3 linked regions of the Mus musculus genome follow. The protein of the gene in region 2 purifies or fractionates together with the protein of the main gene of each other region. This does not show direct contact. Links are inferred from orthologs where the notes say so. Each region holds a gene or a part of one and is shown on either strand. Other genes may lie near its edges. The genes, in order: Pold1, Pold3 and Sprtn.

Region 1 (3,430 bases), about 56 Mb from region 2:
AGCTGAGGCCCCTGTTGTGCAAACCAGTGGTACATTTTGGATCTGTCTGCATGTACGTGGCTCCAGTTCTCGCCAGAAGCTCAAACATGACACCCCTGGCTTCTCATCCAGGGTTATCTCAGCTCAGGGCTCACTTGGTCCTGTCTCTTCCCATGGCTGCAAGACTTTACAGTGTCACCTGTCTGGATTTCATAATTTCGGGGCCAGCCTTAGGCCTATGGCATTATGTCAAGTGGGTTTCTGGGGTGCTGGAGAGTGCTGGGCCTTCTTGGGATTCATTCCTTGCCTGTTGTGTTTCCTGGTCTCGGGATTCGGGGCGGAGGAATGTGCACAGGCCATGGAGGAATGTGCACAGGCTCCGCCCATGGGTCCTTTGCAGGTTTACTTCCCATACCTGCTCATCAGCAAGAAGCGCTATGCTGGCCTGCTCTTCTCCTCCCGCTCTGATGCCCATGACAAAATGGACTGCAAGGGCCTGGAGGCTGTGCGCAGGGACAACTGTCCCCTGGTGGCCAACCTCGTTACATCCTCTCTGCGCCGGATCCTCGTGGACCGGTGTGTGTGTGTGTGTGTGTGTGTGTGTGTGTGTGTCTGTGTCTGTCCCACCTAGGCCAAGAAGTCAGCCTCCTGCAGACCCAGGGGCCTCTCATACCTTGGGAACCCAGGTGGCTCAGGGGTGGGGCGGTGGTAAATCAGGCTGGCAGCTGTGACTGCCTGTGGCCTTTCCCGCCTCTGCACTTAACCCCAACCCCAGTGTCAGCCCAGAGTGCAAGATGCCTAGATCCTAGCTGGTAAAAGTTGCATCCCCATCCCGTAGTGCCTGTGGACATCCTCCCTCCCCCCTCTCTCTCTCAGGGACCCTGATGGGGCAGTAGCCCATGCCAAGGACGTCATCTCGGACCTGCTGTGCAACCGCATAGACATCTCCCAGCTGGTCATCACCAAAGAGTTGACCCGCGCAGCAGCAGACTATGCTGGCAAGCAGGCTCACGTGGAGCTGGCTGAGAGGTGGGCAGCCACACAGCTTCCTGCAGCTGGCTCCACTCCACCCTCCCCAAACCTCATCCAACCCCCTTATCCGCAGGATGAGGAAGCGCGACCCCGGCAGTGCGCCCAGCCTGGGTGACCGAGTCCCCTATGTGATCATTGGTGCTGCTAAGGGTGTGGCCGCCTACATGAAGTCGGAGGTCAGGCCCACCTGGGCTGGGCCCCTCCCAGAATTTCACTTCTGCTTTCCTGGGGCGGCCATGCCCCTGGGCCATACTTAGTGTAGTGCCTCCCTGGGCAGAGTTGGCTGCTGCGCCCTCCCCACCTGGGTTGCCAACTCTATTTGTCTTTGTCATCTCCAAGCCTGGATGCTTCTGACCCCTGCACCCTATCCATGGCCCTTCTCCCATGGGGAAACTAACTCTTGGCGATCTGAGGGTCCCCACCCAGACCCGAGTCACAGTTCCAGGCCCACCCCTTTATCAGAGCCTGCAGATACAGTGTGTAGCTCTCTAGCCCCTAGCCCATGCCCCTCTGCAGCCATTGGTGACCCTGGCCTGCCCACAGGACCCCCTGTTTGTGCTGGAGCACAGCCTGCCCATCGACACTCAGTACTACCTGGAGCAGCAGCTGGCCAAGCCGCTCTTGCGCATCTTTGAGCCCATCCTGGGTGAGGGCCGTGCAGAGTCTGTGCTGCTGCGTAAGTGGACCGCCCAGGAGGGAGTGTGAGCGGGGAAAGGGGCCGAGGCGGAGGCAGGGACAAGGCCATTCAGCTTCCCTCCTCTAGGCGGTGACCACACACGATGCAAGACTGTGCTCACCAGCAAGGTGGGCGGCCTCTTGGCCTTCACCAAGCGCCGCAACTGTTGCATTGGCTGCCGCTCCGTAATCGACCATCAAGGTGAGACCGAGTTACAGCCCTTATACCCACTGGTCGGGCCCTGCCACAGGACTCCATTCTGCCTGCACTCCAGCGGAGGGTCCTCGCCTGCCCCGGGGTTCCCCAGGGGAGTTTTCCCCACACACTTGGGCCCTTGTTCTCTTGCCTCTGGGGACTTTCAGAAGCCGGGATGGGCAGCGGGTGGAGAAGAGATGCAGGGATGGAGACTAGAACCTGGCTTGGTCCCAATACCTCTGTGCTCACCCACCCCACCCCCAGGAGCCGTGTGTAAGTTCTGTCAGCCACGGGAGTCGGAGCTCTATCAGAAGGAGGTGAGTGAGGCAGGGAGGGAGCTGGAGCACGCCTGATCCGAACAGCCCTGCTCAAGCCACTGTGTCCCCAGGTGTCACACCTGAATGCCTTGGAAGAACGGTTCTCTCGCCTCTGGACACAGTGTCAACGCTGCCAGGGCAGCTTGCATGAGGACGTCATCTGTACCAGGTGTGCCCTCCCCCCTCCTGCCATCAGACTCCTGACCCAGCTGTGGGACCTCACTGCAGAATGGGCAGGGTCTGCCTGGGCTTGGTCTCTGCCTAGCCTCCCCCGGGGTGGGGCCGGGCTTTCCCCAGGGAACAGGCGGGCGGGGCGGGTTCCCACGCCAGGTGACAGCTGATATACAGCTGTCTACCTCTAGGGGTACTGCTGTTATCGGCTTCCCTATGCCCGATAAGCAAACAGCCCCCTCCCCTGGGTGGGCAGCAGGAAGGGGTCAAAGTCCTGGGAACAGCCCCTGACCACCATCCTCCGCAGCCGTGACTGTCCCATCTTCTACATGCGCAAGAAGGTGCGCAAGGACCTGGAAGACCAGGAACGGCTGCTGCAGCGCTTTGGACCGCCCGGCCCTGAGGCCTGGTGACCTGACACGGGACAAGGAATAAAGTTCAGATCTTTTGCTACTGGCTGTGTGTTGTGGTCTTTGGGAACAGGTTGGGTTTCATGGTGTAGACTCTGTACAACCCTCTGGAGCCCCAGTGTGCCTGCCTGTGTCCACACAGGACTGACATCTCTGTTTTCCCTCTGAAACCCAGCATGGGACCCTACTACTCTGTTTTGCCCCTCCCCAGGGGACTGGTGGCCACCCAGCTGGCATTAGGTGCTGTCCAGGCCTGGGGCAGCCCCTAGCACACCTCAGGGCAACATGGGACCCTCCCTGTCACGGCACAGCCATGGAGTAGCTCCCACCAGAGGGTCCTGGTGGTCTGTCTCCCCGGGCTTCCCCTCAGCTCTTGGGAGATTCCCTGTCCTCATACTGTGTCTGGGCTTCATGTTCCCTGCCATCCTGTCCTGGTCACCATTGGTCCCTCTGACATCCTGTCCCCAGGGCCTGCAAATCTTTTGTCTCACTCCCCTTTCTCAGCAATTCTCTCCATGTCAGCCTTCCATCCCCAATGGTGGGGATCCCCAAATCCAGATGGCTCCTAGGCCCACCCTCTCTGCCATGTGACTAGAGGGTTGTGCAATCCAGACCCCTCCCAGAGGGGATTTTTGAGGAGGGCCCCCATG
Region 2 (3,644 bases):
AGTTGAGGTTATAAACGTATGATTTTGAAGGAAAATCAAAAGGGTAGTAAAAAAGGCATCTTAGTAGACCTCCACGAGGAGCCCTGATCCTGGGACTGATGGCAATGAAACAGAGGTGTCTTCAGACAGGCTCAAGGAAAGTGAGGACGGAGAAGACCTGCACAGGAAGCCGGTGTGCAAGAACTATGAACGAGCCCTGGATTCAGTCCAAGGCAACAGAGCTTCTGGTGCTTAAGGCCTGGGAAGAGCTCAGTAATACCTGTTCCCCACCGCGAGGGAAACAATGGAAGTCAACAAAAGAGCACCAGCGCTGAGACTGGGACTGAGACTGCGTTGTGGTTGAGATGAAAAAAGCAACAGTACCCTGAGCTGGCGGGCATGCAGAGGGGCAAGAACAGAAAAGAATGCAGGAGCCTAAACACCTGTCTGTACCAGCAGCTAAGCCTCGGCCTTACAACAGGCCACTCCAAGTGACCTATCAAAACGAGTACTCAGGTTACAAATCACCTAATTTTTTTCCCTCCTTTTTTATTTAACATTGGAATCTGACTTGAAATTTGAAGATGAAAATTAAGTACCAGTGTCTACAATACGTATTCAAAAGGAAAAAGAGGTTCAAGGAAAAGCCATTCCCTAATGTCTCATTTCCTAGGTAACTAAGAGTGACAGTCTCCTCATCACAGACAAGATATTACATAACCTTTCTTGTCAGATTTAGTTTAAAATTTCAGAACACTCACTCTCTTTAAGAGGTACTTTAAAACTTCCATACCATTCACTCTTCCTTCTTCCTCCTGTTATTTCTAATAATGTTTCTATCTCATGAACATGAAGTCTTGTTACAAGAGAACTTACAGAATGTCCGTTCTGTATAAGACTGCCAGACACCAAGTAGGTAACATGCAGCTGAGCTCCCGAATTTTCTTTCCGTTTCCTTTCAACATATTCATAGAGCATCCTGTGCCAAACAAGACAGAAGTGACTCATTAGCATGCAGCTTCCTCATCGACTCCGGATTCATGACTTGGAAGTCATATATATGAAATCTGACAGTTTCTTCAACAGCACAATTTTTTACTTACTGAACAGATTTTTGAAAAAACAATGAAAAAACTTTAGATGGAGCATGGGACTGGAACCAACTTATCTGAGTTGGCTAAGACACCCAGGAAGTAACTGAGGTAAATCTAGAAATATGCCAAGAGGGACAGAACCCATAGTCAAACAGTGGCAATGGCCAAACTGCAGATACAAAAGTGAGTCAATTATCGAGCTATGGCATCCAGAATAAACTTTTCTTGGTTTCCTATCTTCAGGCATAAAGCACAAGTGGCATTACTACATGAATAACTCTTATAACCCGAAGTCATACACTGTCTGCAAGCCTCTATTCTCAAATATCAATAGTCTATATGTGCTTTCCTAGAGATGGAAAGGATTTGGGGTTTTTAGTAATTCTATGAGATCATTATGTTAAATACTTCAAGTCATCATATACATCATGACAAATATATATTCACCTGTTACTACTGAATTACATACAGTCAGATGTTTCATGATGTAGAATATAGCAGATGCTTACACCAGCCAACATCTAAAATGTTCATTAACCACACACTAAATGCAGAAGTGTTGCTTGCAGTAAAGTCTTTATTCACTTTTATCCCAACCACCCAAAATACCAGAAGTTGATGCCCCTCAATGGAGTTTAACAATAAAAAGATGCACATCATCTGTCTTTATTTCAAGAAATATTTAGCAAGCTTCTACAACATATCACACTTCAGTTGAGAACAGCCAGAAACTCAGAAATTCTGATAGCTAGGTATGGTGGTACAGGCCTTTAATTATCCTAGAGGAAGAGGCAGGTGGATTTCTGTGAGTTCAAGTCCAGCCTGGTCTACACAGTAAGTACCAGGCTTACTCCAGTAAGCCTAAGAAACCCTGTCTTCTCCAGACGCCCTCCCTCGCTTACCTTCCACGATACCCAGCCGAGTCCCCTGCTACACCTGCTCCATTTTTCCTGCAGTTTCTGTGCTTTCCTCTCCTTAGCCATCTTACCCTATTTTAGTATGACCAGTCACCCCAGTTTGCCTGACTCAGATAGGTTTCCTGGGAAATGGGATATGGTTGGTCACCCCGTGGTATCCTCCATTGTCTATTTTATTCAACTCCATGGCTTCGGTTTTTTTTCCCTGATGACATCATCATTTGTTCAAACCACCTTAGCCAGAAATCCAGGAGTCATTACCTTTCTCCTTATGCAATGAGTTGCCAAGTCTCATCAGTCCTCCCTCCCAACTAACTCTTGACTGGACTCTATGCTCTCCAACACGCTATACTAGACTATTTCAAGTCCAAGGGTCACCTGTATTCTCTTTTCACCATCATTATCTGTGAGGCTGTCATAGTGAAGTTTTAAAATGCAAGTCAGTAAAAAAAAAAAAAAAAAAAAAAAGTCAATAGATTAAAAAAACGAATCAAAACGTTCCTGAGTGCCCACTTGTGTTCTAAGCAGTAAACAAAGGAGTCACGGCTCCTACCCATCTGGACCAGCCATTTCTTTCCTAGAGCGTAAGCTTAAAATTGGTAGGAACTTGAATCACAGCCATCTGTCTGCCTCCCTTTAATCCTAGGGAGGGAGTCTGAGGCCAGCCTGGCTTACATAGGGAATTCCAGGCCAGGCAGGGCTATATAGGTTCCATCCATCTAATTCCTCCTACTCCAAGTCTCTCTGACACGGCTAGCCAAGCAGAGCACCTCTGCCTCCCGAGTGTTAACAGCTTACGCCCTATCATGCATTCTGACATCTACTACACCACACTCTATCACAGGTTTTTAAGGCTGCCTTTCCATACACCACCAGTTACGTAAGTACAAAGCGTGCACTATTTGTCAGTTTTACGGATTCTTCCGCCTTGCTCTCTCACATCTTCCCCACTTCAGAGACCACGTTAGAAGGGCAGATGAGGGGGTGGACTCTTGACTGTTGATGCTAATTAGGACCTGCTAATAGAAAACCAAAAAGGCAAATACCATGTCTACCATGCTCTCAAGCGTGTCAGCCAACTAGTCTTTTCTCCACAGCTCTTGACCTTGCCTGGGTCAGTCAGCAAACCACTGTCTTCTGCACAGGTTTCCCCAAATAAACCCCAGCTGTTCCCATATTAGTTTCTCTTCTCACTTGTTTTTGTTTTGTTTTCTTTTTAATCTATTTCCCTTCTTACTGAGAAGTTTACAACAAACTTTTTTAAAAAGGAATTTATACCTACTTTAACACGTTTCTTATTTAGTAAAGGCAAGTACTCCATTTCTGACAATAATATATGTGAAATATTCTTTAAAATGAGTGAAAAGCCTTGACATGCTGCAGAATGTTTCCTATGCACATGATGACTTACAACCTCCCCGAGACCCTTAACTTTCCTCTCCTTTAGCTCCCCTGGAACCAAACCAATTTTAGTCCTCCATAATATTTTTCCAATCTGAAGATGTCATGTTTAAGTCAATGAGGAAGGATCTTGTCTGTTAAATAATACTTTAAAAAAAGAACTAAAAACAAGAATTTGTTTTGTTTTCTCAAGAAAAGGTTTCTCTGTGTAGCCCTGGCTGTCCTGACACTCACTCATTAGACCAGGCTGGCC
Region 3 (4,385 bases), on a different chromosome or scaffold from region 2:
AGCTCGCAAGCCTTCGTGCACTGGCCCAGCCGGATCAGCTGAGACACGGCTCTCCGAGTAGCCTTGGGGCCGCCTCTCAGAGAGCGATCCGGGGAGAGCTCAAACACAAGCACCTCGGTGAGCTGTCGCACTCGTTCGTCCACTTTGGCCCTCAGCTCTTTCACAGGAGGTGGGCTGGGCTTATCTTCCAGGTAGTGATTTAATTTGTCCAGCAAGTCCACGGCACCCTCAAAGTCCCTCTGTGCAATACAAACATCCAAGTCTTCCGGCAGCTCTTGGATCCACTCCATGGAAAGGTCAACCTTTTCCTCCTCCGCCTCAGGGGTGGCCAGTTCTTCATCATCCTCGTCCTCAAACGGGTTGCTGCCCTTGGAAGTGACCGGTGGTGGCGCACGCGGGGCTGCTGCCTCCTCCTGCTCCCGCCTCCTCTTGTCGCTGAGGGCCCTCTTGGTTTCCTCCAGCACTTCCAGCCACTCGCGCTTGATCTTGGCATTTTCCGCCTGGAAGATTCGGCTCTCGGGGAACATGAGAAGCTTGAACATGTCTTTCATGGGCGGATTGTCTTTGACGTTGACCACCGCCAGGCGGTCCAGCGGGTAGAGTGCGTTGTAGCGGTACATGCCTCGCCGTTGTGGCAGCCAGGTGGCCACCAGCAGACAGTCGTTCATGAGGAAGCCGTGCACGCGCTGCAGCTGGGCCATGTGGTCCGCATCGTATTCCACCAGGTCCCCGTTGTACACCAGGTACTGACCTGGCGTCTCCAACAGGTCCCTGCAGCCCTCCACCTTCTCCAGCAGCGTGGTGAGCGTTCGCTGCTTGCCCTCCTCGCCCGTCCCGGAACCCTCTCGAGGGACGCCCGCCGGCCCGGGCAGGAAGCCCGCCTGGACCGCCCCGCGCTCCCGCGGCCCCGCGCCGGCCGTGTCCTCACCCGCAGAGGCGCCCGCGGCGGCGGCGGGCAGCAGTGCCAGCGGGATGCTCTCCAGGCTGCTCTTCTGCTCAGTCAGCAGGTGGCTCAGCTGGTACATTTCGCTCTCCAGGTAGGAGATCTCCCGCGCCGTCTCGATGAACTGCCGGTAGTTCTGGTAGACGTTGCGCTTCAGGTTCTGTGCCGTCTCCTCTGCCAGCGCCTGCACCCGCTGCCGGTGCTCCTGCAGGTCGCGGTCGCCGTCCGACTGCTGCGACAGTTGCTTCACGTACAGCCGCGCCTCGAAGCCCCCCGACTCCAGCTGCCTCCGCAGGCGGCTCGCCCCGCTGTCCGACATGGCTGCCACTCGTCTTGCTCCCGCGGCCCGCAGTGGCTGTTACTCGCCGCCTCCGGGCCCCACCCGAGCCCGGTGGAGAAGGCAGCGGAGGAAGCGGGGCGGGAGCAACACCCAAACGCCTGCGCCGGAGCCGAGCGCTGCATTGCGCCTGTGCCAGAGTCGAGCCGCTCGCACTGCGCCTGCGCCCGGGGCGGAGTGCGGACAATGCGCCTGCGCGGAAACGGCAGCGTCTTAAGGCGCGTGCGCGGACGAGCCAGCACGGAAGTCAGAGGAGGGTCCGGCACGGACCAGACTTGACGTGTGTCGCCGGACCTCAGCGGCTGTCAGGAGACAACCGGCTGCCTAAAGCCGTCCCCAGCCCGAGCCCAGCGTTCCTAAGCCTGTGCCCGCGGGGCAGCGCCGAGCCACCTTCGGTTAGGCGTTCGAGGCTAGCCCGCGCGCCCTGACAGCAGGGCCGGGAGGCCTCGCGAGATCCGTGCGCCGCACGAGCCCGACCGGCGTCTTGGGAGCGGCCGAGGTGGGAGTAGCGGGATGGACGAGGATCTGGTGGTCGCGTTGCGGCTGCAGGAGGAGTGGGACGTGCAGATGGCGCGGCGCGCGGCGGCGGCGCGGGAGCCCGTGTCGTTGGTGGACGCGTCCTGGGAGCTGGTGGACCCCACCCCAGACCTGCAGGCGCTCTTCCTGCAGTTTAACGATCGCTTCTTCTGGGGTCAGCTGGAGGCGGTGGAGGTGAAGTGGAGTGTGCGCATGACCCTGTGAGTGCGTCCGCGAACGGCTCGGAACGTCGGGAAGGGCCAGGCCGCTAAATTGTCGTTGGTGTCCCCGCCTCGCGGCGCAGGGAGAGGTCGCCGGGAAACGTGCCCACTCCCCAGTCCCGGGCCCAACGTCCCTCAGTGATGAACCAGCCGGATCCCTTATCAGAGTTTGAGAAATCCTATTCGAGATAGTAATCTGCCCCGCACATACACTGTCACATAGCAGCTTGAGGTAAAGCAGGCTAAGACGTAGTGTACTTCTAACCTCATACCAGCCCTGTGACTGTTTTGGGAGAAGTGCCCATGTATGCCTGTGCGGAGGGGAGAGGGTGACAGTGGGTGAGGGTTAGCAAGTGTTAACTCTCTGAAGCCAAGTGACCCACTCAGGAAAGCCATCCTCCCATCAGGGACGTTTTCTTGTGAAACAGTTCTTGCCCAAGAACTGTTAGGGATTTGCTGCCCACCCCCACCCCCTTTTTTGTGGGGAGAGGGGAGAGGGCCTCACTATGTATCTGTGGCTGTCCTGGAACATACTCTGTAGACCAGGCTGGCCTGGAACTCGGAGATCCTCCTGCATCTGCCTTCCACGTGCTGGGATTAAAGGCCTGCACCACCATGCCAGACTAAGGTTTGCTTTTTGTTCTGTCTCCTCTGTATTCGTTGACCCTAATCCATTGTTGTGACTGTTTTCCAGGTGTGCTGGGATCTGCACCTATGAAGGGAGAGGAGGCATGTGCTCCATCCGTCTCAGTGAGCCCCTGTTAAAACTGAGACCAAGAAAGGACCTTGTAGAGGTATTCTTTGCATAAGCCTGATTCTCAACAAGTTGATTTGCAGGATTTATTTATTTATTTATTTATTTTTAAGAGATGGGTTCTTTGTTTGTTTGTTTGTTTGTTTTTCGAGACAGGGTTTCTCTGTGTAGTCCTGGCTGTCCTGGAACTCACTCTGTAGACTGGGCTGGCCTCGAACTCAGAAATCCGCCTGCCTCTGCCTCCCAAGTGCTGGGATTAAGGGCGTGTGCCACCACCACCCGGCTAGAGATGGGTTCTTGATAGCAGCCCATACTGGCTTCAACCACAAGATCCTCTTGCCTCTACCCAAGGGTTTACAGCTGTGCACCACCATTCCTGGCCAGGTTATTTTGTTGATTTTAAGAGACAAGAGTCTCTGTTCCTTAGGTTGGCCCTGGTCTTTATGCTTCTCTTGCTTCAGCTTCCCCAGTGAGCTGTCATGCCCATACCCAGCTATTTTTAGAGGGGTTGATGGTGAGCTGATCTCAAACGCCTGAGCTTTCTGCCTCCATCTTGAGATTTGCCATCACGGGTACGCACCAGGCTGTCGGCTCTTTCAGTGTTGGCATTTCCGGTTCGGCACCTGGAGTCTGGATTGTAGAGTTTTCACTATCAGGATTTTAAAGTTTTGTGTGGTTGGATTCACTGACCTTTTGGGTTTGGGTTGGTTAAGTTAAATGGGCCTTTGTGAAAAATGTTAATTCTGTGAAGGGGATTGTTGACTGGGTTCTGCAGAGCTTGGAATATTATATGTAAAGGTTTGTACTTGGGTCTGCAGAAGGATAGGACTGCAGGTTAAGAAAGAGAATTCATGCCGGGCGTGGTGGCAGAAACCTTTAATCCCAGCACTTGGGAGGCAGAGGCAGGCGGATTTCTGAGTTCAAGGCCAGCCTGGTCTACAGAGTGAGTTCCAGGATAGCCAGGGCTACACAGAGAAACCCTGTCTCAAAAGACCAAAAAAAAAAAGAAAGAGAATTCCTTTTATCTTTAGACATGCCCTAGAAAATTAATACGCTGGTTTTCTGTTTCAGACTCTTTTGCATGAAATGATACATGCCTACTTATTTGTCACTAATAATGATAAAGACCGGGAAGGACACGGCCCAGAGTTCTGTAAACATATGCATCGAATCAACCAACTGACAGGAGCCAACATAACGGTATACTGAGCCACACAGGTGTGGGGAGCAAGCAAGATCAGGGTTTTACTGTCTAGCCCAGTCTGGCCTCAAACTCACAATTCTAACTCAGCCCAAGTGGTGGGATTATGGGTATGTGCTACCAAACCCAGTAGCCATTCAGTAAAAGTGAACTAGGTAGAAACGGATATTTTTAGCCTTGAGCAAAAGCCCTATCATCTAGGCTCTAGGTGGAGTGGCTAAGGAGCCAGCAAGCCTCTTTGCTGGGGCTTCCATTAACTGCAGGTCAGCATCTCAGGCATACATTATCCTCCTCTGACCTTCAGGGGCAGCTCCAGCTCATCCTAAATTCTCCCTCATCGTCCCGACAGTGACAATGTTGGAGGAGATATCACAGCCAGGGCTGAGGTGTGCTGTCCCCTACACTAGGGGTCA

The links.
Region 1: the proteins of Pold3 (region 2) and Pold1 purify together in Homo sapiens (co-immunoprecipitation; 8 studies listed by BioGRID and IntAct, with this or other methods). This does not show direct contact. The link is inferred for Mus musculus from reciprocal best matches to the Homo sapiens genes POLD3 and POLD1.
Region 3: the proteins of Pold3 (region 2) and Sprtn purify together in Homo sapiens (affinity purification with mass spectrometry; 3 studies listed by BioGRID, with this or other methods). This does not show direct contact. The link is inferred for Mus musculus from reciprocal best matches to the Homo sapiens genes POLD3 and SPRTN.

What each region holds. Positions count from the first base shown.
Region 1 is NC_000073.6:44,532,142-44,535,571, reverse strand, and holds the end of Pold1 (DNA polymerase delta catalytic subunit), read left to right. Parts: intron 1-379; coding exon 380-555; intron 556-855; coding exon 856-1,008; intron 1,009-1,084; coding exon 1,085-1,187; intron 1,188-1,554; coding exon 1,555-1,687; intron 1,688-1,774; coding exon 1,775-1,888; intron 1,889-2,146; coding exon 2,147-2,199; intron 2,200-2,270; coding exon 2,271-2,368; intron 2,369-2,677; coding exon 2,678-2,783; 3' UTR 2,784-2,828; downstream 2,829-3,430. UniProt on the Homo sapiens protein: As the catalytic component of the trimeric (Pol-delta3 complex) and tetrameric DNA polymerase delta complexes (Pol-delta4 complex), plays a crucial role in high fidelity genome replication, including in lagging strand synthesis, and repair.
Region 2 is NC_000073.6:100,111,415-100,115,058, forward strand, and holds part of Pold3 (DNA polymerase delta subunit 3), read right to left. Parts: intron 959-3,644; coding exon 856-958; intron 1-855. UniProt on the Homo sapiens protein: Accessory component of both the DNA polymerase delta complex and the DNA polymerase zeta complex.
Region 3 is NC_000074.6:124,896,365-124,900,749, forward strand, and holds the start of Sprtn (sprT-like domain-containing protein Spartan), read left to right. Parts: upstream 1-1,529; 5' UTR 1,530-1,793; coding exon 1,794-2,017; exon of another isoform or gene 2,018-2,249; intron 2,250-2,711; coding exon 2,712-2,811; intron 2,812-3,842; coding exon 3,843-3,971; intron 3,972-4,385. Other genes in the region: Exoc8 (exocyst complex component 8), read right to left, coding at 1-1,262. UniProt on the Homo sapiens protein: DNA-dependent metalloendopeptidase that mediates the proteolytic cleavage of covalent DNA-protein cross-links (DPCs) during DNA synthesis, thereby playing a key role in maintaining genomic integrity.